Struthio camelus: one gene and its partners. The protein of the gene in region 3 interacts with the protein of the main gene of each other region in a biochemical or structural test. Links are inferred from orthologs where the notes say so. Each region holds a gene or a part of one and is shown on either strand. Other genes may lie near its edges.

Region 1 (7,750 bases), on a different chromosome or scaffold from region 3:
AATCCTTCATTTAAAGTTTTCAGCACTAACAGCTAGTTGATTCAACATAAAGTACCTGAAAAAGATCCAACAACAAAAATGTATGAAAAACTAAACTTATTTCAGATTTTCTACCAGTTGAAGAAGAGGGCAGCAGCCTGAGCACTGCCTCTAACTTTATTTAATTTACCTCATTTTTACAGGAGAGTTTCCTTTAGAATATTTATTAGTCAGAAAACAATGATAAGGCTACTTCTCACAGTTTCATTTTCTTTAATAAAGATAAAAACAAATAAGAAGTTAGGTTAGTTAATAGCAAACTAAAATTTCAATAGAAATAATTAGGTTTCCAATACATATCTTTCAACCAATACAGCAACTGGACAAAAAACTAATGCAGTACATATTTTTGTCAGACAGCTGGCAAAAGGAAAAGATAAATCTTTACTAGAGTGCTGAATCACTTTGCGTATGCAAATCTGTAACTTTTCAAGGTATTTTTCCCTTCAAAAATAAAGATCTTTTTCTATATCCTTGCAGTTTTAGGACTTAGAAAAACAAAAATCAGATACAACATGTAATTACTAAATACCTCGTAAGGAATTATCATTTGAATGATAAAACTTCTTAATTCCCACCATTATTCTCTTCCAGAACATTTCAACATTTGCTATTTTTAGAAAAACACTGTTTTAGAAATACAAATGATACGTTTAACTGTTTGTCCACTTCGGGGTGACAGGGAACAGATGGGTAGATGACAACTGCATTATTCAATATTAAACATCAAACCAAAACAGGCACTAACTAATGTACTGAAATCTCACTTCAGTTTGAGTGACATCAGCAAAATACTATGCAGCAGGTAGTGTAACCATTTATTTTTACCTGGATATTTGCACGTAAAAATAGCTTTAACTATATTTACAGGTATGAGTAAGACTATTGGATCAAAAATAAATAAAACATTTTAAAAAACCAAACATCAGAACAGCAACAAAAAGTTTGAAGCTTGATTTTGATACGTCCTTTGCAAGTCACAATTAATCATGAATTTCCACATCCCTTACACAAGACCAAGCCTGATTATTTGTCAGGAGAAAGTAAAGATTTAGCCATACAGCTTACATTTTAAATTCATACGTTCAAATTTCTCTTTTCACACTCATTAATAGAATGCCATAGGATACATTTTGTCTAATTTATTTGAAAAGATACAACTCCCACACAAATTCCAAACAACCTCTGTTGCCTAACAGCTCCATCCCCTAAAATTTAAGGACTTTTTGATATCCTTGATAAACCTGGCAGAAAGAGTGCTGGGAGCACTTACAGCATGCCTACACAGGCAAAATAATTTAGGGTGTGAATTTAAAGTGCAGTGGCAATTCTACCCTAACTTGTTTTTATGGACACACCTATTTTACTCTAAAACAGCCAAAGGTTCTTTAGCTCAATCCACACAGAAACAAAAACCCCACACTCCACACGGAAAAAGTAAACAACAAAAAAAAAACCCTGCCACGCAACAATTGCTTTTCCATACTTATTTCCTTGCACAGGGAAAAATCCCAAATTTTGAAAGATATTACACTTCCATGTATGCAGAAACCTCATACACAATTTATTGCAAAACAGTCTGAAAAAATTTTGGAGCTTAACAGGTGTTTGGTAGATTTGCCAATGATCTGAAAAAGTCAGCAATGAGCTTCTAATGATGAAAGCAACCAAATTAGTTATTCAGTCAATGCTCATTTTAAAGCTCTCAGAATAACTGAGTCTAATGCACAGCATCCATATCTCCCTAAAAAGTATATGAGGATTAACCCAACAGCACATTGCTCTTTCCTTACAAGAAGTATTTTTTTCTTTACAAGCTGTATTTAATCTAAAGAGGCTACTTTTCCAGAAGCTTGATTTAAAGGGGAAAATTAATGAGAAACTGTTAATCTTAAAAAAAGAAAAATCATCTAGTGAAAAAACTCTGCTCCCTTAGGCTATGGAAGAGAACTATGGATAGTTCCAAGGCTTTGGGAAAAAATTATGCCTCCCAATTTCAAGGCAGCATTTGAACACCAGTGGTGGTTACATAAACCATTTTACTTTCAAGTGTAAAACAGCTTCTGTCAATTTCCTCTTCCAAGAGTTGAACAGTAGATTTAACTTTGCAGTAAACACATTAGTAATACCCACTAGAAATACAGCACAAACTGGTGGATGCATAGCTGGAAGAAGTTATCGTGAAGGATAGATTTTAAGCTGTGCCCAATTACAAACTGTATCATAAAAATCAGAGAAAGCATAACCTTAAGATTTTAATCCATCTGATATAGTTTAGTTATGCCTGCAAGTCAGGTATCTGCAACACGTCTGCCTGATTTCTTACAGAAAAAAGTAATCCAAGTCCCAGCCCTAATTTTTTCTTAATCTTACTAATAAAAATGAGATCGGACATCTACACACTGGAAATATAAAGCTTGCCAGGTCCACTTGTGCTAAGAAACGTGGAAAGGAAACTAGCTAGCATTAAAAAAAAAAAAAAAGAAAAAAAGTATGAGTAGTTAAGATTTGAGTTTCCTTCCTTTCAAATAATTTTTTTCTTTAAATTACATCAGATGGCTTTGGGATTTAAATTGAACATGCAGACTGTGAAACAGAGAATGCATGGTACGGAAAAGCTGAACCAACCACGTAAAAGAAAAATGAGAGAAGGAGTCAGATGCAACACAAACTGACAAGGGAAACAGGCCTGGCTCTAGATTTAAAGAGAGGGGGGGAAAAAAGGACAAACATTGCATACAGTCCTGAAAAGACTTTTTTTTTTCCAGCCCAGGCTGTGGACTGTAACTTTTACTACTTTGCTTGCATAATTACACACACAACATTAGTTAAACAAGCACCATATTTATATATATATATATATAAAAGTAGCAAATTCTGAAATACTTCTACAATTGCATATTAATAAAGTCATTAGTTGCATTCAGAAAGATGGCAGTACATTCTCTGTCACTTTTACCTCATTTGTTAACGAAATCATATACATCCAAAGTAGGTGCTTTGACAGTACTACTATGTGACATTTTCAAGCAGTTGACAGCACTGCACTGATCCAGTCACATCATTACATTATTTTTCATCTGCAGCCTTTAGAATATGCACCATATCTGACTAGATTTCCAAGTGGTCTTGAGCCAGAGACTTCCCACCTTAAAAGCACTACCATTAGAAAGGAAGCACAGTACACATTATAAATTTTTACAAGACAGTGTTATTCACAAATTGAGCAGAGATGCAATTACTTAAACATCCTATACGCACACTTTAGCTGGGCAACCAAAACATTCCCAAAAATTAGAGTTTGACTTTTTTTTTTTAAGTATATTTTTCCTGGACATAGGAAGAACATCTAACAGACATCATCTTCTCTGAAAATATATATATTTTTTACAATAATCTATTTACAAATCTATGGCTAAATAATTCTTATGTTTTTCAGAATTCCTTTATCTTCCACCTTTTTTTAAAAGGAGCTTAATTTGGCTATATTATATGCAAGTGATACTCTTACTCATCACTCAGATACTTCAGAGTAACCCCTACCCAAGTTTACTAATGTTACTTTATTTTTTTAATCCAAAACACATATTCCAATTGTAACACTGGGTTAGTTTTTCAGTTTCACCAAGTACTCAGAACTCAAGTCCACAGTTTGACAGATCTTAGTGGAGATCTAGGTGTACAACCAGAACAAGTCTTTAACAATCAAAATATCTCCTGTTATCAGTTACAGAAAACAGCATTGCCACTACTGTCTTAAAGGAAAACAACTGCACAGTTTTTTGCTTGGACCTTGGTAGACCCTACTCTCCCTCCACCCCCACCTCAACAAATTTCAGTCTTTAGTTTCACCTTATCTGTGAGCAGTGACACACTGAGTCATTCTAAAGTCTTCAAGTGATTTCCATGAGGACAGGTAGAACATCTGCTTAATAATTCTAAACACTGTTTTCCTTTTAATCTTTAGCTTAGCAAAACTCTTGGGTATATACTTAGAGCTAAAAAAACAAACCCAAGCACGTTAACTTGGAACCAGCATCTTTGTTGTTCCCCTGCAAAATGCCTCTCCCTGTTCTGCATCCTTTTCATATAAGGTTTTTCTTCTTCTCATCTTTCCTCCTCCAGACATATCCCCTTACCTGAAGTTATCATTTGAACTACATCAGCATTGGAGTAACTTTGTCGATTTAAAAACTAATTTGGTTATTCTAGAACATCTGTACAAGTTACACATAGATACTAAACGCCACTTCAATTAGACATCATTTCAATGAGCCTGGCACCACTCCACAGAGTTTTCTGACAGGATGAACAGAAGGTTGGTAGCAAAATTACCATTAAAATAATCCTCCTAGTACTGTCTTACAGCTAGCTTCTTTTTACTTTGGTCCTGCTTCCAAAGGTAGGTGCTATTCAAGCACCTAATGTAACCCTTAAGAATTACATTCATAGTATGCAGACTACACCCATTCCTTTCACATTTTTAAAATCTGGTAAACTGTATTTTGCTTAGACAGGTAACTCTAACAATGACCTACCTGACTCAGCGAACTTTCAAATTTTCCTTGCTTAGCAAAGGCCAAGCAAGGAAAATCCAAGCAAAGGCAAATCTTGTTCCTGAGATTTCCAGCATCTCTGTTGGGGACAATTTTATTCCTCCTAAAATTTCACAGATGCTTCTGCTCGACTCAGTTACACTGCATCTATAAATGCTAACTACAGATACCACACAACATTCATATTATAGCCTCCACTAAAGTTTCCCACAGTGCTTTCACTTGAGTACAATACAAAGCAAACATTTATTAGATATGCCTTGTCAGTATTGTTGCCATTTTTAAAATTAAAACCTTCTCTGTTCAGTCATATGGCATTTAAAATTGTCATCCAATTCTAACTTTAAAATTGAGAATTTATTAAAATGTATACAAGATATATGCAGCTAAAGAAGTAGAATCTTCTTGTAAATGTAAACATTTCTTGTAAAAATAACAGAGTTTTTTGACTAATTACAAAAGGAATTTTTTAAGGCACCAACTTTTCTGGGAACATTTTTGGAGCGCACTAGACGCTAGATGTAGTTTATTCTGACGTAAGCTGCTTTACAAAAAGTGACGTTTAGCCTGCACTCACAACATATGCAGTTGGTGCCTTTGCTAACGCACTAGCAAAGTTCTCCTCTCTCTAAGCCAAAGTCTCTTTGCAGATAAGCAGAAGTGCATGATCATACTTACATTGCACCTTTGAATGCTGCAATGTTATAGAACAAACATAATTCTATTCTGGCATGCAATCTTCAACAAAATCACTAACCATATTTCAGCTTGGTGGCAATTCTAGCAAAAGGGAAAAAATCCAGCTTGAATTTCAAGTCTCTGGCCTAAGTTTACACACCATCACTTTAGTTCATTGTAAATTCAGCAAACATGTTTTATGACCTTTTGACAATACGAATTTTCAGTGTCTATCACTTTTGAGGATCAAGTTGCATATTAAAAAAAACAACTGCCCTGTGTTTTTTCCAAATTTTGTCCTAAATTAGAATCTTGAATTGTTTTAAAATTTCAGAACAAAATAGCTGTCATCACCTCATGGAACATTTTACTGTCACAGTTCTCCCCATGTGCCGTTTAACTTTTAATTTCCTTCTTCACGTAAATGAAGGAAAAAATGTATTTTTCTCTCTTTTTTTTTAAACTCTGGAACAAGAAATATAACCCTTTTGATGTAAGAAGCTTAAAAGAAACCAAGTAGCAAAGCATTAGATCTTGAAGTTAAAGACACTCAAGACACCACACAAAACTTTCTAGCCATATCTCCTAAAACACTGGAAGCATGCTTTCTGAAGGTCTCTACCGGCCTTAAACATTCACATTTTAAGGGGCTAAACTGAGAGTAGTTATTGTACACTGGGCTGAAATAATACTCACCCTCCTGAAGATGCTTTATTGTTACTGCAAATAACATTACCTGGACTCTCAATCTGATATAGACAGTGAGGACAAACATCGAATGACCTTTTAATTTTTACAAATCACATCAAGAATCTGAACGGGCCAATCCCTTAAAAAAAACAAAGAAACAAACAAAAAAACCCACACTATCTACAAGGTAATCCTAAGAAGTGAAACCTGCACTGGGAAAACTCTTCACTGAAATATATATTCGGTAAGAATCAAACTCATAATAGTTGGAACTACAGTTGCTAGACTTACACAAGGTTGTTCAATTGTTACAAGATAGATTCGTCCTTGTGTAAAACTGTTGTACAGTTTTCTTAAAGAGACCAAGGATCTAAACTTCCAACTTCCTAGTTAAACTCTTCTCTAGCTCCAATAAGGATAGTGTTTCATAACTTAGAGAAAGTACTTCAAGCAAAGTACCAGTTAATTATTCTATTCCCACTGCACATATCCACCGACTGCTTTTCTTTCGGTGCTACTAATAATTTTTCAATCACCACGAATACCTGTTAATGTCAAATACATAAGCCAGGTGCCACAATGCACCGATTTCTTCATCTTCACCTAACCACACATTTTTTGCAGAGGGGCAGCTCTGTCCAGTACCCTCCTTCACACCTTCCCAAACACCCTGGTTTCTGAAAGCGCTCTGTACACCCGTGCTTGACAGCCTTAGAGCTAAAAATCGCAATTTCCAGCTCCCCACAAACTTTCTTGCAGCGCTCTGGAAAACAAGAGCCAAACGGTGCCCTTCGCCGTTAGGAAGTTCACTCGAGTTGCCGGTCTGGCAGGTTCCCCCCCGCCCCTTAAATAGTTTTTCTTCCTGAACTAAGAATTTTCAAAGGCAAAGGGGGGGGGGGGGGAAGGGGGAGGAAGAAAGGAAACACCTATGGGGAAAAGAGTGCCCAAACAAGCACAAGTTTATAGGACGAGTGCGCGGAGATGCACAAGCCGGAGGGCGCCGGGCTCGGCTCGCCGGGCAGCAGCTTCCGGGAGACGAGGAGCCCACGCGGCTGAAGCGGACCTGTCCCAACCCCTCGGCGGGGACGGCGGGAGGCAGGCAGGGAGGGAGGAATACTCCGCTCGCCCACCTCTCTCGGGGGAGGAGTGGGGGGGGGGGGCGCGGATTTCTCCGCGGGTGTCAATCAGCCGCTCTGAAGCCTTGCTGGACACGCTGAAAAATCCACGCATCCTTCAACAACACTGCGCCCAACGCCGCCAGGCAAGCAGCCGGCTCTGCTCCACGCCGCCTCTCCCGCGCAGCGCGGCGCCTCGGGCCGCCCCCCGCCCGCCCCCCCTCCCGCCGCCGCCGCCGCCCCCCGGGCCGCCTCTCGCCGACCTGCGGCCGGGCTGCGCGGAGCCAACTTAGACAAAGGGCACTTACAGACTCCATGCCGCTCCCCTCCAGCTGTCACCGGCCGGCGCGCTCGCCACCCCACGCCGGCCACCGGCTCCCCCCCCCGCGCCCCGTCCCGGCCCGCCCCGCGGAGGCTGCCCGGCGGCAGCCACCGCCCCCCCCCAACCCCCCTCCCCGCCGCCCGCTCCCTCCTCCCCTCCCCCCATTACAAAGGGAGCCGGTTATAAATAGCCGCTCCCGGCGCCAGCGCCTGAAGCCCGCGAGGTGTCGCTCGCTCGCTCACTCACTCACCCGCCCGCCCGCCCTGGCCTCGCGCTGCCGCGCCGCCGCCGCCGCCGCCAGCTCCGCCGCCAGCTCCGCCGCCAGCTCCGCGCCGCTCGCCCGCCCGCCC
Region 2 (7,456 bases), on a different chromosome or scaffold from region 3:
GGCCCTATCCTGAACTTTCAGGAGGCCAAGGAAATGGCCTAGCAACCCAGCAGTGCAGATCAGTAGGGGAGTACAGCAGCAACAGCTGTCACCCCTCTCTCTTCTCCTGCCTCTGCAAAGAAGAAAAAAAAAGTCTCTTATATCAGCTAAAGATGGGTAGGTTATGTTCATATTCTTCTTCAAAAACAGTCCCCTCCTTTGGCTTAGAATGGGCAAGGCTGTCCAGAAGTCTTCTCACAAGATGAATAGGGCCGTACACATAGCTATGCTTTCATGCTGTCTGCAGACTTAAGGAATCACTATTTATGTTCCAGTTATGTTTTCAACTTTTACTTTGCAACCACAGGCCTACAAAATTATGCTATGAGGAAAACAAGCTAAAAAAGTCACAAAATAATTGTCATTTGTGGATCTGGGGTCTAGGCACAGATTTCCTTCTTTGCAGAAGACGCTGAAATTATAATCTTTGTGGGGCCAAAGGAGATGCAATAGAAATAGGGATACTTTACCTATAGAAGGACAAACACTGCACTTCAAGTTAACAAGGTTAATTTCTAAAACTGTGCTTTCAGAAATTGTAGGCCACGCACTGTATTAAATTCTGACAGGTCTGTTGCAGAGAATGGAAATGTAAAAGAACAAGATTGTCTTCTCTGCGTTTAGACAAATTATAACAAGTGTAATTTTTATACAGTTCCAAAAGATTCCTGAATGTGCATCCCTGGAATAATTGAACTATTTAAAGCTTCACTACAGATAACTTAATGTTTCTACCTCCTGTTGCTTCAAAGTGAAGGAACGCTTCCAACTATCTTATCAGTTCTACTAAAGCCAAAATACAGTATTTTACTTTCCAAGGAGAAGAGGGAGACAATTTCAAACTGAATCATACCATTTAGGAGAGTTGCACATGTCCTAATGAAATCAACAGAAATTGAAAACTATGAGTGAGTGATCTTTGGGAGTGCTGGGAGTAGGAGAGGAGGAGCAAAGATGGATTCTTACAATTTAGGTGGCCCACTGGTCCACTAACTGAGGACACAGTACCAGTCTGAATATATACCTCATTAGACACATGAGGATCTGGATGCGCCACCTTGGGGTGGGGGGAGCATTTCAGCCAGCTCATATTTGGGGACGTAAAGCAACCACCTGCTACCAGGCTTCACTGTTCCTGGGGCTGACAGGACTACTTTCTGCTTTTTCACATTACCTGCAATTATATTAATATTTGTAGATTATACTTAAATATTTTTACTGTCTATGTAAAGAAGTAATTGTATTTTAATTATAAAACACGTAGTGCTGTATCCTTTTGAGGAATGAGGACTTGGGAGTGAAAGAGATACTAGCTTTAAAAGGAGCAAACAATTGATGTGATCCTGGAAAATGTTATAAACGTGACCGGAATGTGCAGAACTGAACTCTAATATTGAGAAGCTTTATTCATTTAAGATAGTGTTGCAGGAGAACAGTAGCTTACACTGTCTTCCTACTCACCTGCCCAGTCAAGAGTCTTCCCCTGAATGATCATGAGATGCGTTGAAGAGGAAAACATCTAGCGCTACAGGTATTTACAAAATATTGTGAAAAGAAATAATATTCTGTAGGCCCTTGACGACGAAAGAATTACATTCCTGTTACTTTTGATGAGTGATGATGAGGGAGAAAACAAATCTGTAACAAACCCATACTATTTATGGCTTTATATACAAGACTTTGAATTGAGCTTCCTAAATAGCCAGTTAACTCAGGTTGCCACGTTCTACAGCTGATACTGAATCTTTACGCCAAAGTTCCTGCATTTGTTCCTATAAGGGTGGCCATGAAGCTTGTCTTGTGGAGTCTCTCCAGGTAAAAAGTAAGAAAAACCAGTGCATCCAAACAACCCACAGGTTGCAGATTACAGTGATGCTGCCTAGCCCCTTAAAGCGGAGCCATGACTTCTAAAAATTTCCTAGACTAATACTCCTGAAAACTCCTGACAGCTAGGCTAAAAATGGAAGCCTTCTGTTTTCAGTGTGGGATTAGAAAAACACCTCAAATTTTCTCCCTTTTAGTTAATTTCAAGCAAGCTCTGTCAAAAGAGGGTTCAGAAATCAAAACCAAACATCTCCCCATCCTATGACACCCAGTTTCACCCCTGTCAGCATGGCTACATTTTAAATAACCATCTCGCGCGGCTCTGCAGCTGAGCTCAAGCTGAGCCAGGAGAGCAGGGATTCGCTAGGGTAGGTACCAGCAATGCACTGGTGTCTAGAGGCTGCCAGTAGCTTTATGTAGGCACTGATGTGATGAACGGTAAAGCCAACTGAACAACCCCTAGCTTGTCCAATTTTTTGCAGCTATTACAACATGGTAAATAGCTACCCTATCAGCAATGCATTCTGAACTGACGTGAGGGTTTATCTCACTGAAAATGAGGTAAATTCTTTTACAGTTTGACAAGGTGTACGTTACAGAAACGATAAAGCTTCTTCACAAGTTTTTTAGGGCTGCTAGTCTTACCCAAAAAAAAAAAAATCATAAATGAAACCTGACTGTTTCTGGGCACCTTTTCTGAAATTTCAATTTTCCTCTTGTGTTCATCTCCACCTTTTATAAGCAATCATTTGTTGGGCTAAGCCAGTTTACAGTATGTTTCACAAAGAAGACATGATGCAATATTTATCTAAAATGTAGTAGTCTGACTGCAGGAATGGTGAGCAATAGCAATACTGAGACTGTGTGCAAAGTGAATTATGGGTTATATAAAAACCTGCCTAAAACTAAAAATATTTAGAACTGCTTAATCAGAATTTAATCTAAAAATATATATACCAACTCAGCATAAAATACTTTTCAGGAATTGATTAGCTAGCTGCTGTTATTAGCATGTAGCTAATATTTGGGCTATCAACTCCTACTGGCCAGTCTTCAATTCTCAGAAAATGTTTTATGCCCAAGTCACTGTTGCCTAATTAGAGCCTGCAAGAAAAACTGATGAGCCAGGGAAGTTCCATAGTATTGCATGCACAATTGTGTACTATATACTGTTGCCAGATACAGGGAGCTTCGCGGCTGGTTATTCAGGCTTTTACAAAAATGCTTTTGTAGTTGTCTTTAAGGGCTAGTAGTTTATTGGCAGTTATTTCACCCATGTATCACCAGACTCCTATTTTGATCCAAGACTGTAGTTTTCCCTTTGCTTTCTGTTATTTCTCTTGTTTCACAGGAAGGCTAGTCACGAGTTCACTCCAAAGATCGAGTTTGGGGGAAAAAGAAGACCTGATTTTATTGAAAAAGAAATCTCACTGCAAGAATCAAAACAAAGCCACTTTCCTGCAACTTCTTATGCATAAAATACAAATTGCATAGTAATATTTCAAGGTCCATAGTTTATTTTGCTACTCCTAAACGTTCTCTTCAGTTTCATATATATGGGAAAAGGTCACTGATGCGGATTTTTTTTTTTCCTAATCTTCAACAGTTAGGATAAATACCACATCCAGACATGTGGGTTAGAAAAACTAATCTGTTTAGATGCTACTCTACTTGGATTTTTTTTTCCCCAACATTGAATTTCAGTCACTTTATTGCATTTTGTCCTTTTGTGTGTGTGCAAAAGTAAAGGTATTTGGGAAAATGCTGCTGCAATTTAATTTATATTACATGGAAGAGAAGATGGATTTAGTTTGAGATTTTTGTAAAATGCTTTGTGAATAAACTACATAATCTATTAAGCAGATACCATCCCGTATGTTAATGCAGTACTTGAGATTTGAAATGCACAAGTGGCAAGAGATGGCTTAAGGACAATAGCTTAGGCAAGCAAATTGCTTGTCATCGTTTGCTTTTCTGTAACCAGGTCGCCCCCCCCCCCCCCGCTCTCCCCTTTCCCTGCTAAATCCCTCCAGAAAGCTGGATTTTGTGTTAATGGGGGTGTGTCTGGGTTTCATCTTAGGAAGACCCCCCGCGCCCCCCTCCCCCGCATCGCTGAAGTGCACGGTGAGGGCTGCGGGTCGCCGCTCTCGACCTAGGGAGCGATGAATCCCCCATCTTCCTCTTCACGGGCGTTAGCAACTCCCCCTCCCCACCCCCCTCCTCCTTTCTTTCTTTCACCGACGAGCTTTCCCTCGCTTTCCCAAACGGGAGCCAAAGAGGTTTTTTTTTTTCTCTCCTGGCCCCCCACCCCCGCCCCTGCGGGTGCCGGGCCGCCCGCCGCCCCCCCCCCCCCCCCCGCGAGGCACGGCGCGGCCGTTGGGCTCGCGCGCCGCCAGCGCCGCAGCGGCAGTGCGCGCGCCGCGCTCGTGCGCGCCGGGTGCTGCAACGGTGCCCCGCCCCTCCCCCCCCCCCCCCGGCCCTTTTTAATTCCGCCGCCAGCCACCAGCGGCCGTTGGGCGGGGGAGGAAGGGACCCGAGCTGGCGGAGGGATAACCTTTTTCTTGAGGCGGCCTGGGGCGGAGGGATCCATACGGTGGAGCCGCCCGTGGGCGAGGGGGGGGAGGAGGGCCGGCTGAGGCGGCGCGGTCGGGCCGGCTGGCTGAGGCGAGGTGGCCGTTATTTGGCAGGAGGGGTGGAAGGGGAGGTGGTGGCCCGGGGGGCGCGGGAGCCTGAGGCTCGGGGGTGGCTGCAGAGCCGCGGCGGGCGGGAGAGCCGCTGGAGCGAGGCGGGAGGGGCTGGGGGGCGGCCGGGGAGCCCGGCGGAGGGGCCGGCGGGCGAGGAGAAAGCTGTGACGGGCGGGGACGGGGGGAGCGGCCAGCCGGGGGGAAGGGCGAGGTTGTGGGGAGAGGCGGCGTGTGCCGGTCCTGTCCCTATGTTGCGTCGTAGTTTAGTGGAAAAGGGAAGGGGTTAGAAAAGGGAACTAATTAAAAATAGCCTCTGATCCCTGCTGGGGGCTGGTGTCCTCTCTGGGGCTGCCTGTGCCATTTGGGGGGGGGGGGGTCATTCTCTTGTGTGCAGAAGCAGCCTGAGGGGCTTAGCGCCGAGTGGGGGTGGGGGTGTATGCCCCTCTTCTTCGCTTAACCTCGTCTTTTTTTTTTTTTTTTTTTTTTGGTGGGGACGGGGCAGGATGAGCTTGCAGAGTTTTACTGGATTTTCTCCTTCCTTTCTGAGGAGCTACCGCTGCTGAAGCAGATTTTTCCTTCCTTTCTTTTTGTCTGATGTAGAATCCTAGTAGCTAGGCAGCCTCCCTCTTTTCTTCCTTCTACCCCTTCAGTATGTAGGAAGGGAGAGACATCAATGGAAAGGCCGAAATACATGTAGATGGACTTTCAAATGCTTTTTTTTTTTTTTTTATTTGGAAAGAGGAAGATAGAGCCTACTTGCCACCGACTTTTTTGTTGCTGTTGCACTGCTTTGTAAAAATGGGGTTTGCTTACTCCAGCTGAATCCTCTCAGTGTTTTAGCAAGTTGCTACAGTGGAGGACTTCTCATATTTTTTGCATCAGAGGAGCAACATTGATGCTAACCTTTTTTTTGTAAAATGGAGAGCGAAATATTCACACCCCTTTTGGAGCAGTTCATGTCTAGCCCTCTTGTCACCTGGGTAAGCATTAATTTTTCTTTACACGTTATTCTTGTATTTGCTTGTTGTTTGAGGATAAATGCCTTGCTGCACAGAAGAGGATGGAATTTGTGTCACAGTGTTGATGATTATATTTTAGGTTAAGACATTTGGACCGTTAGCTGGAGGAAATGGGACCAACCTGGAGGAATATGTGGCGCTAGTGGATGGCGTGTTTCTGAACGAAGTCATGCTGCAAATGTGAGTGTACTCGAGTTGTGTGTTGGATTTGGTTATTACTGTTGTCTTCCCTTCTGTATTTTACTTTCTTAGGAAAGCTCTTCTTACCTTCAATAACAATGTTAGTAAAAATGTCTTCTTTATTTTATGCTTGAAGTAGTCTTGTGGCTTAAAGCATTCCAGATACTCTTTATTTGTTTGCAGTACAGTATTTTTAATGCCAAAATGATGTATTTGCAGGAGGTATACGGTAATACAGGCAAAGTCATATCTAGAACTTACTGGAAAATTGCGCTTGAATCACTGTAAATGCAGTTTCCCAGATTTCCATTTAGAAGCATAAAGGTTCGTTCTACTGTAAGTCGCAGTCATAAACCAAATTTCTAAGCAAATTGCTTGGTTAATAAGATTCTAATGCATATCTTAGTTCATATGGTATACAACTTAAGGATAGTATGTCAGTCAGCGTAATGTTGTCTACTAACCAAATGGGCTGTTCTGTAATTCTTTTCGCTTTGTTTTTCACAGTGCCAAGTTTGAGTAAATAGAAGTTGTGTAGTAAAGCTGAAGTGTTATTTGATAGTGTAGAATGTTTTTTGGGTTGCAAACCACAGAAGAAACCTTTTTACATGTTTTCTACAAGTGTTTATTGAAAGCTGTGATTGGTAGAAAGCTTGCTATGTAATTTTATTGATGTAAGATATTACAAGCTATGTATTTATATGTAATTTAGAAGGCAGGTAGATCAAGAAGTTCCAGTCATAGAAATACAGAAATAGTCAACTGTGTGTTGTATTGTGTGTGTGTTTTTTTTTTTTAATCATAGTTTTGACTGGAATGTTGCCCACTACTGTAATGCTAGCGAATAACACTTTTGTCAAGTGCATAGCAATATAATCATAAAACTGCTACCCGTGGAAGAAAGATCTCAATTTTTTCCAGTATTTTAGATCTATACAGAGAAGTACATCTTTTCTTTGCATAGCTATGAGTAAGTGTAGGCTTATGAATGGCTTGATAAATAACGCCAATGTGTGAGCAGCTCGTAATGACAGCTGTTACACTGCTCAGTGATAGGCATCCTTGTACTGTGTTCATAGTTCTTACTTCAATTTTTTTTTTTTTTGCTGTTGGTGTTTGGCATGTTTAACTAATCTATGTAAAAGCTCTGCTCACCACATTTAAGACTGAATTCTCATTCTTTAAAACCAGTATCTTGTCACCAACTTCTGTGCGTATAAATTCCAAGTACTCGTTTTCTGTTGTTCTGAGAAACATGGAAAACTTGGAGTAGAAATTTCTGTAAGAAATCTTGAACTTGAGTGTATTTCTGGCATATTTTTGTAAAAAGAATTGTAAGTGATGCATTCACAGAAACCCTATTTTTATTCTACAGCTTAAATGTCTTTACTTGGTTTAGGTATAAACTAGGTGTAGAACTTTCATTCAGTAAAAACATTGGATAGTTGGAAGCGAAGGCCTAATTTAGAATTGGGACAAGGTGATTTTGAAAAATGCAATCTTGAAATTAAACTCTCTCAGCAAGTTTTTGCAGTATTAAGAAAGAGTATAACCTGATTAATACGTATATGGGAAGTCTGCTGCCTTTGAAAACGTAACTCAAATGGAAAGTTGTAGTGAGGGAATATTCCCATGCTTCGAGCGCTGTGTTTTGAATTTGACTTTAACTTTGTGTGTGCATCTTTGGCCCCATTCCCTGGAGTACTACAG
Region 3 (7,296 bases):
TCTTCGCTTACTTTACAAAATGCATTGTGGGCCTTGAGACAGGCCACTAACATCTGCTATTGGCCCATGTGATGTTCGATTAAGAATAACACCACATCTAAACAGGTATTTCATGACGGCACATGCGGCTTATCACCAGGAATGGAAACACTTCCCTAATACTGAGAGCGATCGGAAAAACCGTAATTTGAGGGTAAAAGACAAATCTCTAAAACCAGGCCCACCTTCTTTCAGTCTATGGGCGTAACCTCGGTTTACAAAACAGCAGTTTGAAATGCCTTGTGCTCTTGTGTCTCTACTGATCAATAGACAGGAGGTTAATTTTGTTCAGGTGAGGGGCCCGGATTACAACATTCAGCTGTCCAAGCTGCAACCACAGCTAAAGTTTGATAGGACAAACTAAGCTACTTATTTCAAAACGGAGTGACGGTAGAAAAGAGACAACTTCTTCATACTGTGTCAGAGACACAGGCTAGACAAAATCCTCTTTATGCTCCCAAACAAGAACAAGTCCTTCTGCAGTTTACGCTCACATAAGAACTGTGCTGCACAGAATTTTTGTACTAATTTAAGAAGCATTTTAATCAAATTCCATTTTAAAGTGCTCATAACAAAAGTTTTGCTCTGTCCACCAAACAAACGAAGTCAGTCATGATCCTATTTAATTCTTACTGTAATAAGGGCATTATATAAGCCAGAAAGTGAATGCTGGAGCTACAGGTTACATGCAGACATTAGGTCAATTTGATTTACCATTGCTGCACATCAAAAAGCAGTTCTATAAACACTGTACACAATGAAAACCCTCCTATTTAAAAAAAATGAAAGCTAGCTCCACAGTGTCTTTAAATCTATTAACTCAGACAAATGTTGTGGCTGTCATAAGGAAATTAATTCCTACATAAAAGTAATTACTAGTCATGCAGTACGTCAAATTTATTTACCTGTAAACAAATATTCTTCTGAATTAAGTGTTAGTAACTCCCCTTTATAACTGTATTTTGAAATGTACATCCCTCCTGTGGTATAAATAAAACAAACAAGGGCAAATCAGGGATTTGCTTCTCATTATATATTAGGGATGGCAGAAAAACAAAGCAAAAAGAAAACAGTTAAACACTTTCCCCAAGGGGGGGGGGAGGGGAATACTGATAAGGTACAAACACACTAGCATCAATACCGTATTGCCAGTAAGACATATATTAAAAAAGAAGTCCCAGTATCTTCACATCCTGGATTACACTACGTGTTTTTACAAAGAAACAGAAGCAAAAGTGCTAGAAGCCCCCCCCCCCCAAGAACATTTCAACAGTTGCAGAATTTCACCCGGGGGGGAGGAAAGGGGGGGAGAAGGGGGCATCTGCAGACAGACAGCGGTCTGCGAAGCACGACTGCACAGACCAAGTCCGCCGACGCTGCGCAGCAGCCTCCGCACGGCAGACGCCCCCGCGCAGCAGCACACCCCCCGCAGCAAACCCTCGCTGCTCCGCCAGCCAGAAAGGGCTCCGCAACGCGGCGGCAGAAGATGAAGAAGGGGGGGAAGACGGGGAAAGCTGCCTCGGCTACTTCGTTTGCCGCACGGTGTTCACACCAGCCCGCGCCCCCCGCGGGGGCCGGGAGGCCGGACACCCCCCCCCCCCCCCCGCCCGCAGCACTTTCCATTTACCGCATCCCGGGGAAGCCAACAGCTTCCTGCTCGCCCCGAGCCCGCTCGCCCGGCAGGACGCCCGCCGGGGGCCGGCCGCAGCCCGCCTCTCCCCCCCACCCCACCTTCCTCCTCGGCCCGGGGGGCGCCGCAGCCCGGCCGCGTTGGGGGGGGGGGGCGCGGCGGGGGAGCCCCCCCCCACTACCACCACCACCACCCCCGCCGGCCGCGGCCTAGGCGGGTCAGCGGGCGAACCGGCGGCCGCCGCCCGGGCCCCGCGCTGCCCTCCCGGCCCCGCACGGCGCGGCGCGGCGGAGCAGGCCCCGGCGCTTCCTTCCCGCAGCCCTTGCCAGCCGGGGACCGGGTCACTTACGTGCCTGGAGCCCGGGGAGAGGAGGTGATGGGAGAGGGTGGCGGCTGCCGGGGAAGGGAAGAGGGCGGGAGGAAGGGAGGTGGAGGGGGGGGGTGCGAGGCGGACGCTCCCGAGCTAAGGCCTAACCGGGCTCACGGCAGCCGCCGCCGCCTCCTCCTCACCGTCGCCGGGCGGCTGGCGGTGGGGCGGCTCCTCCTCCCCCTCTGGCGGGCGCTCGGCCCATGGGGCTCCCACACCCGCTCCGGCTGCCGGCCTGCCTTCGCCCGCCCGCCGCTCCGCTCCGCCTCGCTCCCGCCGCTGCCGCCCTGCCTCCGGCCGGGAGGCGGAGGCTGCCCGCCTGCCCGCCGCGCGATCGAGCCGCCCCCCTGCCGGCAGCCGCCGAGGCGGCGGATGCCCGCGCCGCCGCCGCCGCCTCCCCCCGCCACGCCACGGGGCCGCGCTCCCGCCGCCGCCGCGCTCGCCCCACACGCGCCGCCGCCGCCGCGCTCGCTCACATCCTCCGCCGCCGCCGGGTCCTAGCGCCGCTCGCCGCCGCCCCTCCGGCAGCGGGGAGGGCAGGCAGCGCCCGCCGGGCCCTGTCAGCGCCGCCCGCCCCGCGCAGCCCCGCCGCGGCCCCCCTCGGCGGCGGGAGGCGGGGGAGGACCGCGTCGCCCGGCTCCCGCGGAACCGCCGTCCCGCCCGGCGGCAGGGCGCAGGCCGCGCCGCACCGCTCGGAAGTACCTGAGGAAGCCGTTGGGCGCCTTCGGCGGGAGCGAGCCGCCCCAAAGCCGTCGAGGCAGGCAGAGCCCCACGGCCACGGACCTCCCTCACACCTCCCCGCGACCGGCTGCTTAAATACTTGGGCGCGACGGTGCCTGTGAGAACACCTCGGCGGCCCTGTCCGGAGCGGGGAGGCCGTGAGGCGCGGAGCGCGGCCGCCCGCCGCCTCGCCCCGCTTCCTCAGGGTTTGAGGGCCGCTGCGCTCTGGACAACCGTGTTGTGGAAGTGCCTTTGACGGAGTTGGTGTTTCTCGGCGCTCCCAGTAGCTAGTTTTGCCCTCTTTGCTAATTTAAGGATTTTGTTTGTTTTCTCATTGACAGTGCCGGCAGCTCTGACCGGGCTGCAAGAAGTGATTTGGTCTGTTCGGAAGCCGACAGCGGCGGATGGTCACGTTTCTGTAACCGGAAGCTGGTTAGAAGTTGGAAAACCTTCCCATAGCTTTGCAGTGTTAATAGACTCACGGTGCATGAAGTGCATTTACAGCAGTAAAGCCGGGGAATATGACCTTGCATTCACGCTGGTAACAAATCTATTTTGTTGGGTAGTAAGAGGCATTTCTACCATGTCCTTTGAATGACTGTACACGTTTACCAAAATTCACGGCTTATATACTTTCCTCTTCCATTCTGAGCATCTAGGTCTGTCTAAATAATTCTGACTGCCTCTTGGGTGCCCAGGTGTCAAACGGATCATTGGGTTTTGTGTACATCAGTGCTCTGGAGGAGGCAGGAATGGGAACGAGGAGGAAAGGGTTCACATTCGCTCAGGATGGAGGGAGGGAGAACGAGACCTCCTTTTCCATCACTGGGCAGGCCAGTTCCTCCCCGTGGAAGTGCTAAGCCGGTATTGTATTTCTATGGCTCTCCTTTAGGAGTACTGGGGCCTTTAAGCGGGTTTAAAAATATACTACCAGCCAAGTTAGGAGAAGAAGCGTACCCTGTGTTACAGGAGTACCTAGTTTAGGGTTAGATCCTCACCTAGTGATGCAGTGGAAAAATTTCGGTTTATACAAGAGGAGAATGAAACGGGCAGGAGAACTGTTCCCATGCTGATGTACAAGGGCAAAAAAAAAGGAAAAGAGAAACCTGCAACAGACTCTCTGGGACTGTCGTCCCATTTCTACATACTGTACATTAAGTCCAGAATATTTAGCATAGATTAAAATGCATTTAGGTAGTAAAGATATCTTTCGAAGGAAATTAGTCATCAGTGTGAGAGGCTTGCAGCATATTGAGGGGACATGTGTAGAAACTAACCAAAAATAAAGAAGAAAATTCATTTAGAAACTAATTTTGACTCTTGAGCCTGTGATTACACCGAGCAATAAAGAGCATGTGTAAGCAGAGGACTTCACTGGCTGTAGGAAACTTCTGTATAGGCAGAGGGATCTCTGGTAATAGATCTGATTGCAGGAGAGCTTTCTTGCCTCTCTGCCAAACCTTGTTCTGATTGATAAGCTCCCGGGTTGTCATCGTGAGCAAGGTCATTAGGACTTCCCCTGCAAATGAAGCAGCAGTTTAAAAAATAAGGTCATACAGCAAGCATAGTTTTCAGTCCCAAAGAGAAGAAAATAAACCTCCATTGTTTGCTAAAAAGGAAATACAGTAAAAAAACCCAAAATCAACACGAGCACATTGTTTAGATTTGCAAACTGTTGATTTACAATGATGAACGACAGGCCCAAACTAGAAAGTTTGGATCCAGATCTGACATTCCCCAAATGGTGGGCAGGAGGGGAGGGGAGGGGGGGGACAACACTTAGATTTGGGGTTTGGAATAAGGCTTATCTCCGAAACACAGAAAAGTCATGTGGATAAAAATACCCAGGTAAAGTAGGAAGTGCCTGGTCTGCAACAGCAAGGGTGACTTTGTAACAACAATGAACAAAAGCAGGCCTTTTTTTCCTCTGAGAACAATGAAATCACTCAAGAATTGTTATAAATGCAAACAATGGGGGTTTTGTCATTCAGTTATCATCAATGGGATTATAGTCTATAAACCCTAATTTTCAGGGAAGTCCCTAGATTTCCCTAAGCGCTTCCTCAAATTTCACATCTGTTTACTCTAATTTAGTAACTGATATGGGATAAGGTGCATCAACTGTTCCTTGGTATTATGTTACCATAAAATACTGAACGTAGGGGTTGGAGGCAAAGAATGGTCGATTGCCAGACAATATATCAATACTGTACCGGAAGAACAGACACTCATGTTCTCACCCATTTTTAACAAATATGGAAGTAACAAATAATCTGATCTAACTTTTAAGACTTTATTTTAAAACACTGAAATTATGCAGCTTTGGATAAAAAACGTTTTTATTCAGTCAGGCATAAAAGGAAAGACTAGTATGGTAAGATGGAGTGGAATTACTGAGTTCACCCCAGTAGAACAAGTTGTGCTCCATGACTGCAAGTGCTGACAGTGCCTTTTGGTGCTAACAGTGAATTTATTCCTCCCTTTTTGAAAGGTGGGCTCTACTCAAACAGGGCTCAAAAAAAAAAAAAGCTATGCGAAGTCCTATTAGAGTTGTGGCACTAGTGTCTCAGTCTAGGCATTTGTAACTTTTAAAGAAACAGCTCATGTTTGGTCTAAGATGAAAGTCTAGTTTAATAAAAATACAAACTTTTTTAAAAGTGCATTCATTTCATGCTGCCAAATATAATAAACATAGCTGCACTTCTAAAATTGAAAAAAAATCCAATGATTGAAGACGTTTTCTCAAGAGCAAAACAAAGGTAGGCTATCTGGAAAAAAAAAGAATAAATGTAATCATACTGAAACATTGTCATTCTGCTTTTTAGAAAGTTATACTGTGAATAAATACATGTATGATTTAGTTTGTACTTCTGTGCTGAATTCGATGAAAGACTATTCAAGTGTTAGCTAAATTGATAACTGGAAGACCAGAGATCTGAGTTGTCCCTGTTTGCTAAAACATCTTTTGGGAGCTCTTCTTCAGGGTTTATTACAGACCCTCCCAGAGGTCAGACAGGAGACCTACAGGAGCTTCTGTTTCCCAGCTGCCAGCATGCTCAGGCTGGGCAGCGCTGGGGTGGCAGTGTGCCTTCTCCAGCTGGAAAAGGAGGAAGAGGGCATACTTCACAGTCCTTCCAAGAGCTTTTCTGGCTCCGTAATGAATGGTGCTGACAAACTCCAAAGCGAGAACCATGCAGTTCTCTTCCTCTGGAATAATGATAGCCACAGGGCAGCAAACACGCTAGGGGGAATTCAGTAAATAAACAGGAACTGAATTGGTTTGCACAGAAAATGCACTAGTTAGATATAGAATGTACAAAAATAGCAAATATATCAGTTCTGTCGCATACGCCAACCACGGCTGTTTTTGTTGTTACAGTAGTAACCACAAGTCCCATTTTGGACCAGGAAATGTTAGGCACTGCACAGACACAGCAGAAGAAACAGTCTTTGATCTTAAGGAAGCAAAGTCTACTCCAAATTGCTGATTTTTTCCCCTCCTTGTTTGTAAAACAACATTTCGTGAGTTCTTAGTTCTGGGAAGATACCTGAAAATGCTGAAACTGCAATAACCTGCTTAAAGAAACATCACAATCTTAACTATATTCGAAAAGGAAAATCCTCTGACACTGAAATAATGAAGTTGTATACACATGTTCTATACCCATTAAAAACAAAATCAGGTCTCTTGCATTCTCAACTCACACACCCAATGCTCATTATGCTATATTGATCTAAAATTATATGGTTAAGCACAAGGTGGGCAAATGAACTTGAGTGCAGTATTAGTGACTGCCCTTGCAAATCTCCCTATGGAAAAGTGGAAGGAGCAGCAGCTCTGCTGCCAGGCATAGGCACAGCAGTAGATCTTTCGGAGCGCTGCAGTCTAGATGAACTGAGCTCCAGGTGGAAGCCAGTACAGAAAAACGCAGTCTTTCTCATGATCTTTACAATTTCCTTGAGATCAAGAGCCTTAATCTAGCTGTTAAGATTTCCGGTATTATGATGACAGAGGCTTCCTAAATCCTTTAAAATATATCTACACATGACATTTAACCACTGCACTGACAGATTTTTTTATTATTTGTGCATGAATGCTAGCAGAGAAGGGATTGCTTTTAATTTCTTCAGTGCATTTTTAATGGCATCTGCATGCACACAAAAATCTGCTAGCATTTGAATCACCTCATCAAAATTTTATAGTTTGGAAACTTTTAAAGCCAGAAGTGACCGTTCCAATATCATTCTGGTCTGACCCCCTGGATACTGCAGCCATAAAATTGCATTTAGTCATGTCATCATCTGTATTCACACCTCATATGTAAAAGAGATGACACTACCATGAACCGAATAAAAGCAGGCAAAGGGGAAGGGAGAGGAAAGTCAAATTCATATCTTCAGTGTTTTCTTTACTTCAGTGCTCAGCTGCAGCCTCAGTTCTGCAGTCATGCCAGTCAGAAACCTGCCAAAAACCAACAGCTTGGGGAGCGACAGCAGAGTATAGTTTCTGCTTTATTTATAATACAAGTTGTCCTGTGAA
Region 4 (7,375 bases), on a different chromosome or scaffold from region 3:
TGCCAAGCTATGCCAACGGGATTTGAGGGAGAGCGCACACAGCTCCCTTTGCTTTTCCTGGATACGTAACTGCTTAATTTGCAGTATACCGTCCATATACAAAATCAGACTTGGACAATATTTGCTAACAATTAAAACAAGTTTTTAGGGGAATTTCCCCCAGCATTTAAACAGCTTCAATTGTATTTCCACCATAGTTTTCTGCTTGCTGGTTGAAGTCCACAGTTTTAAGCTGCTCTAACCATAAGGTGGGCTGATCACAAGCACAGCTGCTGTCACTCTGCCTTCTCTCATCTTCCCTCACAAGAAGTTTCTGTTCTCCCCGCTTTGCTAAAGCTAGCCTGAGTTAGCCCATTCACAGGCTGCAAGACTACAAGTGAACTTCATCAGCAAAAAGTCAAACTACATCAAACAACTCCAGCAACAGTGCCAGAGCAGGGCCCTCAACTCTCACACACTTACGCACAAAGTGTTCTCATCTCTGCCTCTCCACAAGCTAAATCCAACCACGCTTTTTCCAAAATTGACAACACATGATGAAATCTTAAGAGTAAAGCCAAAGGTCCTGTTTCACACTAAGGACTACAGCAAAAGAACAGTCACACTGGATCAAGCCAGAAGTCCATCTATACCAGCATCTAGCCTGATAGGATACCTCACTACGCTCCTTCAACTTCCCCAAGATATCCTGGGCCATATCTAAGATGCCACACCGAACTTTGGTCTCAAGCTCTGTTATCTATCCCCAGACCTAGGTCCTGAAACACATCTCACAATAAAGCATCTCAGTGCCTGCTTAACTCCATGTGCCAGCTTCCTCAGCCTTAAGGACCGAGACGCAGTAGGATTCATTTACAATACAACCGCTTCACGTTCATAACTACTAGAAGGTCAGGAAAAGAGTTTGTACCGCAGAGAACCCAAAGGGAGCGTTCCAGCTGCAAACTCATTACTGCCAAACAGACAGAGACATTCCCAAAGAGAAAATGCACCAATGTAATGTCCTGTTTGCCAAAATAATACGATTCCACGCAGCAGCAGGCGGCCCAGGACAGCCTGCCTAGCCCAAGCAAGCAAAAACTGTCTATCAGTGAGACCTCAGTTCTACTGAGGAGAAAGCAAACGTATCTAAGCACGCTGTCTCAAGTCAGCACTTGTTAATAGGGATTCAACCTGCATGACGGAAGAAAAGAAAAAATGAATAGTCAATTTTAGTCAAACTCCTTGCACTCCCCAGGAACCTTCAGTGAGCTGGACAAATGGGAAAGGTGACATGTTTTGCATTAACCTATGCCAGCTTAAGCTGGGACAGCTGCGCCCCTCTCACCACGTTCCTACCCTCTCTTGAGCAAACACCAGCATTCATGCAACCGCACGGTGTGCCACTTCAGAGAGCTGAGCCAGCTGAAAGCTAACCTACCAGAAAAAACCATCAGTTTTCTGCAAATTCAACTCTCTGAGCTGACTTGCTGCTTGATCACACAGGCACCAGCTCACAGGCAAAGGAATGCCCGGCTGGAGTCGTGGAAGCCCCAAACCATATGGGCTCAAGCTGCCACAGAACCGCGCCACGGCAGCGCTGCTAACCACAAACAGAGAGATACTCTGCAAACAAGGGGAGCGTAGCGTAAGTGTAATTCCAGTGTGCAGCAACAGATCACACGCTTTAGATTCCAGTCACTCTGGCAGCCTCTGTGATATACGAGGACAGCACAAGGGACTATTTCACAAGCCAGTTCTCACATCTCCCTTTCTTTTTGCTCGAGTCCGTCTGACTAAACGGAACGGGAACACCAAGCTGCCACCTGCAGAGGACGGAAATGGAAGTTAGCTCTTATACTAGAACTTAGCACGTGCCTATTGCCAGAGCAACAGGAGAAGATAATATAGAGATTTTTGAAGAGCATGTTCCTCGGTCTACTTTCCCTTTTCCTAACTCCAGCAGAGGTCCTCAGTCACTACGCAGCAGAATCGGCATTGCTCTGGGACACAGCACCCTTTCTGAAGGGAGGTTCTTGAAAGCCAAGAATGTCTGCTATGAAACAGTTATTTATACTGAGCTTTCGCACAGGGGCTAAAGAACTGCGGCCTTGTATTTAAAGGCCCTTTAACCGATGCTTCATCTTACACAGCCGCTTAGCTAGAGTCTCTCCACTGACCCCTGACTCCCTCCCTGGAAAACTTTCAGGACGCAAAGCGAACAAGGAGCAGCCTTTCATGGCAAGGCAGTGACCGAGCGAAGCCCTGGGCTGGCGCCCAGCGAAGCCCGTGCCTCCGCTCAGGCTGTGCGAAGCCCGGAGCGGGCCCCGGAGGAGCCCAGGGGACAGGCCCGCAACACCGCGGCTGCCAGCGGGCCCCGACCGAGCCAGCTAACGCACTCGAGGCCTGCGGCGGGACACGGAGCAACAGGTGAACAGCAGGCTGTGCGCAGAGGGCACCGGCAGGGCCGAGGTGACAGGCAGCGGCCTACCGGGCCCTCCCTCACCACGGGGCCAGCTCTGCCCGGTGCAGCTCCCCCCCCCACCCCCAACCTCTCCCCAGCCCTCACACCCCGGGGCGGCCCGGGCACCCCCCACCCGCCGGGGCCCGCGGCGCGCACCTTCCAGCCGGCGGAGCTGTTGCTGTCGCCCTTGTCCTTGAAGTAGGGCACGGAGCGGACCATCCACTCGTAGATCTGCGCCAGCGTGAGCCGCTTCTCCGGGGCGCTCTCGATGGCCTGGCTGATGAGCTCGGCGTAGGACTGGTTGCCCCAGGCGTTACGCCGGGAGCCGCCCTTCCGCGCCGCCGCGCCGCCCGCCCGCGCCCCCTCGGCCCGCCCGGGCCCCGCCGCCGCGCCGCCCGCGCCCTCCTCCGCGCCGCCCGCCGCAGAGCCGCCCGCCTCCGCCGGCGCCGCCGGCAGCTCAGGCCGCGGCAGCGGCCAGGTGCAGGAGCGCGGCCGGCTCTGCGGCTCGAAGTCGGGGTCGATGTCCAGCCCCGCGGCGGCGGCAGCGCCGCCCGCCTCCGCCATGGGCGCCCGCCTCAGCGCCGCCGCCGGGCCTGGGCCGCGCCGCCGCCGCCGCCGCGCATGGACCCGGCCCGGCCCGCTGCCCCTTTGTGAGACCCGGGCCCCGCCGCTGCTGCCGCGCCGCTCTGTTTACCAGGGAGCAGCGCCGCGCTCTGCGCCTGCGCGCGCGGGGCGCCCCGGGAGTCGTAGTCCCGGCTCGGCTGCCCGCGTGCGCCCCGGCCCCGCCGCTGTACTACAACTCCCGGCGCCGCCCGCGCCCGACGGGGCGGGGCGCCGCCCCGAAAGGCGAGCGTGGCAGGCAGCGCGCCGAGAGAACTACACCTCCCAGCGGGCACCGCGCCGGCCGCGCTTACATAACGGTGGCCCCGCCCCTGCCGAGCCGCCTGTCGGGCCCCCTCCCTCCGCGCTGTTCCCGGCACCGCCCCGGCGGCCAGTGCCCGGCCGAGGACCGGCCCCGGGGCCGCAGCCACCGCCCAGCCCCGTTGCCGCTGCAATGGCTGGGCTCTAGGCTTGTGGCTCCTTCAGCCTTGTTGCCCGCTCGGGCCCTGCGGCCAGCCCTGCCGGGAGCCTGTCTGCTCCTTTCCCCTTCCCTGCCCGGGCGGTGAACCAGGGTTGGCAACCAGGTTCCGGGGCTGCGGCCTCGCCGCGCTACACAGCGCCCGGGGTTGGCCCAGCCCAGGACGCTGTATAGCAGAGCCCTCGCCCTTCCTCCGGGCCGCGCCGCGGCTCCGAGCCCCGCTCCCAGCGCGGCTGCCTCAGCCTCGGGCTCTGCGCGGTCCCAGTGCGGGGAAGCGGCCGGGGCGGCGCAGGCGGCGCGGGGCCGCGGCGTGAGCGAGTCCTGGCCTCAGGTTCCGGGGTGGCGCCGCCGCTCGCCCCGCGCTCTGCATAAACGCCGTGGTTTTGCAGGCGGCGGGCGGGCGGCGGCGCAGCGTGCGCGGGCGGGGCGGCGGCGGGGACCCCGGACCCTGGATAGGCGGAGCGGTTTTGCAGGCGGCGGGCGGCGCGAAGCCGCGGCGTGCGCGGGCGGGGCGGCGGCGGGGACCCCGGACCCTGGATAGACGGCGCGGTTTTGCAGGCGGCGGGCGGCGCGAAGCCGCGGCGTGCGCGGGCGGGGCGGCGGCGGGGACCCCGGACCCTGGATAGGCGGCGCGGTTTTGCAGGCGGCGGGCGGCGCGAAGCCGCGGCGTGCGCGGGCGGGGCGGCAGCGGGGCTGCGGCAGCGGCCGGGCGGGGCGGCGGCGGCGGCGGCGGCGGCAGCACCACCATGTCGGAGGCGGCGGTGGCTGACACCCGGCGCCTGAACGCCAAGCCGCAGGACCTGACGGACGCGTACGGGCCGCCTAGCAACTTCCTGGAGATCGACATCTTCAACCCGCAGACCGTGGGCATGGGCCGCGCCAGATACACCAGCTACGAGCTCCGCATGCGGGTGCGGCCCGCGGCGCGGCCTCTGCGGGCCGGCGGCGCAGGCCCCGGTGGGGGACGACCGGGGAGGGGGCCCGCGGCGAGCTCGGGGGGAGCCGTGGGGGCAGGGGATGGGCCTGGGCGGGCGGGGGGGGGGACGTACTCGTGAGGGGCGAGGCCGGGCCCTGCGAAGCCCGGGCTGGGGCTGGCTGCGGGCCTGGCCGCTCCCCAGTGGGCGAGGGCTCAAGGTCGGGGCGCTCGCCGCTGCAGGAGGGCCTTCTCCGTCCAGGCAGGCCTGGGCACCAAGGAGGGTGCCCCCCGGCAGGCCCCCAGGCCTGGCGCTCAGCCGCGGGAAGCGGCTGCCCGCAGCTGCCTCCTCCAAGAGGGAAGGCAAGCCAGTTGTCAGTGCCTCGGGAGCCCATCACGCTGCGGTGGAGCTGCCGTCTGCGAATAAGCTCGGTCGCTTCACAAAGAGCCTGCGGTCCTGAAGAGCGCGTAGCAGGCTGAGCGCTTCTTGCAGGGTTCTGGGCCTTAATTGGGCTGAGGTGGTGACTTCGAGGCTCGCTATAGGATAGCGCAAGTAAAACTGAGCTTCTCCTGAAACAAGGTGCTGCTAGTGTACGTTACGGTGCTGGCGTTGGCTTCTGTTCCACGGCATGATTTAACTGCTGCGTCTCCGCTGCCTTTCGGAGGAGGATTGGGTGTTTGCTCTTTTTCTGTCCTGATGCTTGGTTTCGTTCAACCTGCCAAACAGTGTCTGGCAGATGGCAGTGAGAACCGCTTAGTGTCACTGAGACTAGCTCTTGCAGAGATGTTTCAAAAGCGGCTGGTTTTGTTTTGCGGACCTGATGAGAATACAGTTATGTGTGTGGCAGCACCACCTGTGTACATCTGGTGCTGACTTGTCAGAAGGTTCTGCTGCCTTAGTTCCTTGATTGTTTCAGGATGTATTTATTATTGGCAGCGTGAGGGTGAAGTTGCTGTAGCTTTCAGGCTTCCGACTCCGATGTGGGGGGAAGAAGGGAGGGGAACTGCTGCAAAGTTCCTGTCGTGGCACAGGCCAGATATGGAAAAGGTGCTTTTCCATTTGGGTAGTCAGTCTGTTCTGTAGAGAAGATTGTAGCACGAGATCTGGCCTTGGGCAGTTGCTGGGACAAGATTTCCTCCCTTAATTCTTCCATGGAAACGGCAGTGCCAGATGGGAGGTTCTTTAGCTCTGGAAGCTACTACGAAGCTTTCTTGAACACCAGTTCAAAATGGAGTGAACTCGGAGGGGGTGAGGGGGGGGGCGGGAAGCCTTCTCTGTACTGTAAGCCCTGGTTCCAGTGTGTGCCCCTGGGAGGGGGTGTTTTCCTGAAATAGTAACTTGAGGGGGAGGGAACGGCTGGCTTCAAGTAGCCTGGCAAGTGCTTGCTTGATTTTTGAAGGGCTTCAGTGCTTATGTCCTGAATAATGGAGCTGGGTGTTCTCGTGATGCGTTCTTCTCAGGGGGCTTGGCTTTCTAAATGCAGCTTTAGGTTTCGATTACATCTTGAAATGCTATCTGGCTTCTGAACCAACCTGCAAATTAACTACTTCTCTTCGTTACAGACAAACCTCCCCATCTTCAAATTGAAGGAGTCGTGTGTGAGGAGAAGATACAGTGACTTTGAATGGCTGAAGAATGAGCTGGAGCGAGACAGTAAGGTGAGGCCTAGCTCGGACCTTTGCTGCAATGGGGTCACACGGTAACAATTGTAGCAATGATCATGTCTTACCCAGAGGAGAGGCTGTGGTGGGCTGCTGCTGCTGAGGCTTGATCTCTGGCCAAGTAATGGTGCTAGAGCTGAGCATCAAACAGCGAAGGAAGCCCTCTTGCAGGAGGCAGTTCTGCTAATGGCGATGATTCTGCGCTTTCAGATTGTAGTGCCACCGCTGCCTGGAAAAGCTTTGAAACGACAGCTTCCATTCCGAGGAGACGAAGGCATCTTTGAGGAGTCCTTCATTGAGGAGCGGAGACAGGGACTAGAACAGTTTATTAACAAGTAAGCTTGGTGTCCTGGGCTTGCTGTGTGCTTGCCCTCCTGGCTGCTGCCAGCAGAAAAGGGTTGTGGGTTGACTAGGAAGGAATCCTGATCCACTGTGTGCGAGTGCCACGCTAAAGGATGGTGCCTGCAGCTGGGTAGTGAAGTCACATCTCTGAAGCAAGTCCTGCCTTGACTGTGGACTGTATTCAGTGCTCTGTTCTGAGACTGAAGTGAATGTTAGCAGATAAGTTGTGCTGCAGAGACTCACTGACTGCATAGTGTTGTTTCAGGATGCTCGTGACCCTGCTGCAGAGCGTGCTAGTGGAGGGATTACTCTGTGCTCAAGCATCTCTTGCTGGCCCTGATACATGCCGATCCAGTGACCTTGGCCTCGCCCCAGAGTGGCTGTTTCAAGGCTTCAATTTGATCGGGAAAAGCCCAAGTCCCTGGGTTTGCTCCCCTTGGGCAGGTCAGGCCTCCCAAGGCTGTGGAGTGATCATGACATTTTTGTGCTTGAGGCTGGTCCCCGTTAGTGAAGTTTACCTTATTCACTCACTACGCAAAGTGGATTTGTGGGGACCCCTGTGGTGGCTGTGCTAACCTCCACTTGTGCTTTTCTTCCAGAATTGCTGGACACCCACTGGCACAGAATGAGCGCTGCTTACATATGTTCCTGCAAGAGGAGACTATTGATAGGAATTACGTCCCAGGAAAAGTGCGCCAGTAGGAGCACCTGGCACCGTCTTCCTCCATTCCACCCTCCCTCCTGCAAAAATGACATTTATTTTTACACTAAATCTGTCTTCTCTGAACCAGCTTTTCCTCTCTTGAAGCTCCCAATTTGTTCAGTATTTTCCTCTTTTGTAACTGGCAGCAGTCTGTTCTACTGGGCTGTGGTCTTGGCCTAAAGGTATGAAGATTTATGCAAGTGAATGTGTTGTCCTGCACCTAGCAGCAGGTGT

Evidence for each region.
Region 1: of the proteins of AKT1 (region 3) and EZH2, one has a biochemical effect on the other in vitro, tested with the Homo sapiens proteins (2 studies listed by BioGRID). The link is inferred for Struthio camelus from reciprocal best matches to the Homo sapiens genes AKT1 and EZH2.
Region 2: the proteins of AKT1 (region 3) and CCDC88A form a complex in vitro, tested with the Homo sapiens proteins (2 studies listed by BioGRID, with this or other methods). The link is inferred for Struthio camelus from reciprocal best matches to the Homo sapiens genes AKT1 and CCDC88A.
Region 4: the proteins of AKT1 (region 3) and FOXO4 form a complex in vitro, tested with the Homo sapiens proteins (2 studies listed by BioGRID, with this or other methods). The link is inferred for Struthio camelus from reciprocal best matches to the Homo sapiens genes AKT1 and FOXO4.

What each region holds. Positions count from the first base shown.
Region 1 is NC_090943.1:62,688,317-62,696,066, forward strand, and holds the start of EZH2 (histone-lysine N-methyltransferase EZH2), read right to left. Parts: upstream 3,019-7,750; 5' UTR 3,004-3,018; coding exon 2,999-3,003; intron 1-2,998. UniProt on the Homo sapiens protein: Polycomb group (PcG) protein. Catalytic subunit of the PRC2/EED-EZH2 complex, which methylates 'Lys-9' (H3K9me) and 'Lys-27' (H3K27me) of histone H3, leading to transcriptional repression of the affected target gene.
Region 2 is NC_090944.1:118,737,106-118,744,561, forward strand, and holds the start of CCDC88A (girdin), read left to right. Parts: upstream 1-4,451; 5' UTR 4,452-4,532; intron 4,533-5,049; 5' UTR 5,050-5,464; coding exon 5,465-5,527; intron 5,528-5,645; coding exon 5,646-5,746; intron 5,747-7,456. UniProt on the Homo sapiens protein: Bifunctional modulator of guanine nucleotide-binding proteins (G proteins). Acts as a non-receptor guanine nucleotide exchange factor which binds to and activates guanine nucleotide-binding protein G(i) alpha subunits.
Region 3 is NC_090946.1:73,935,916-73,943,211, forward strand, and holds the start of AKT1 (RAC-alpha serine/threonine-protein kinase), read right to left. Parts: upstream 3,002-7,296; 5' UTR 2,739-3,001; intron 2,609-2,738; exon of another isoform or gene 2,513-2,608; intron 2,317-2,512; exon of another isoform or gene 2,019-2,316; intron 1,020-2,018; exon of another isoform or gene 945-1,019; intron 1-944. UniProt on the Homo sapiens protein: AKT1 is one of 3 closely related serine/threonine-protein kinases (AKT1, AKT2 and AKT3) called the AKT kinase, and which regulate many processes including metabolism, proliferation, cell survival, growth and angiogenesis.
Region 4 is NC_090952.1:25,564,310-25,571,684, reverse strand, and holds the start of FOXO4 (forkhead box protein O4), read right to left. Parts: upstream 3,008-7,375; coding exon 2,600-3,007; intron 1-2,599. Other genes in the region: SNX12 (sorting nexin-12), read left to right, coding at 4,268-4,432, 5,998-6,093, 6,307-6,431, 7,038-7,140. UniProt on the Homo sapiens protein: Transcription factor involved in the regulation of the insulin signaling pathway. Binds to insulin-response elements (IREs) and can activate transcription of IGFBP1.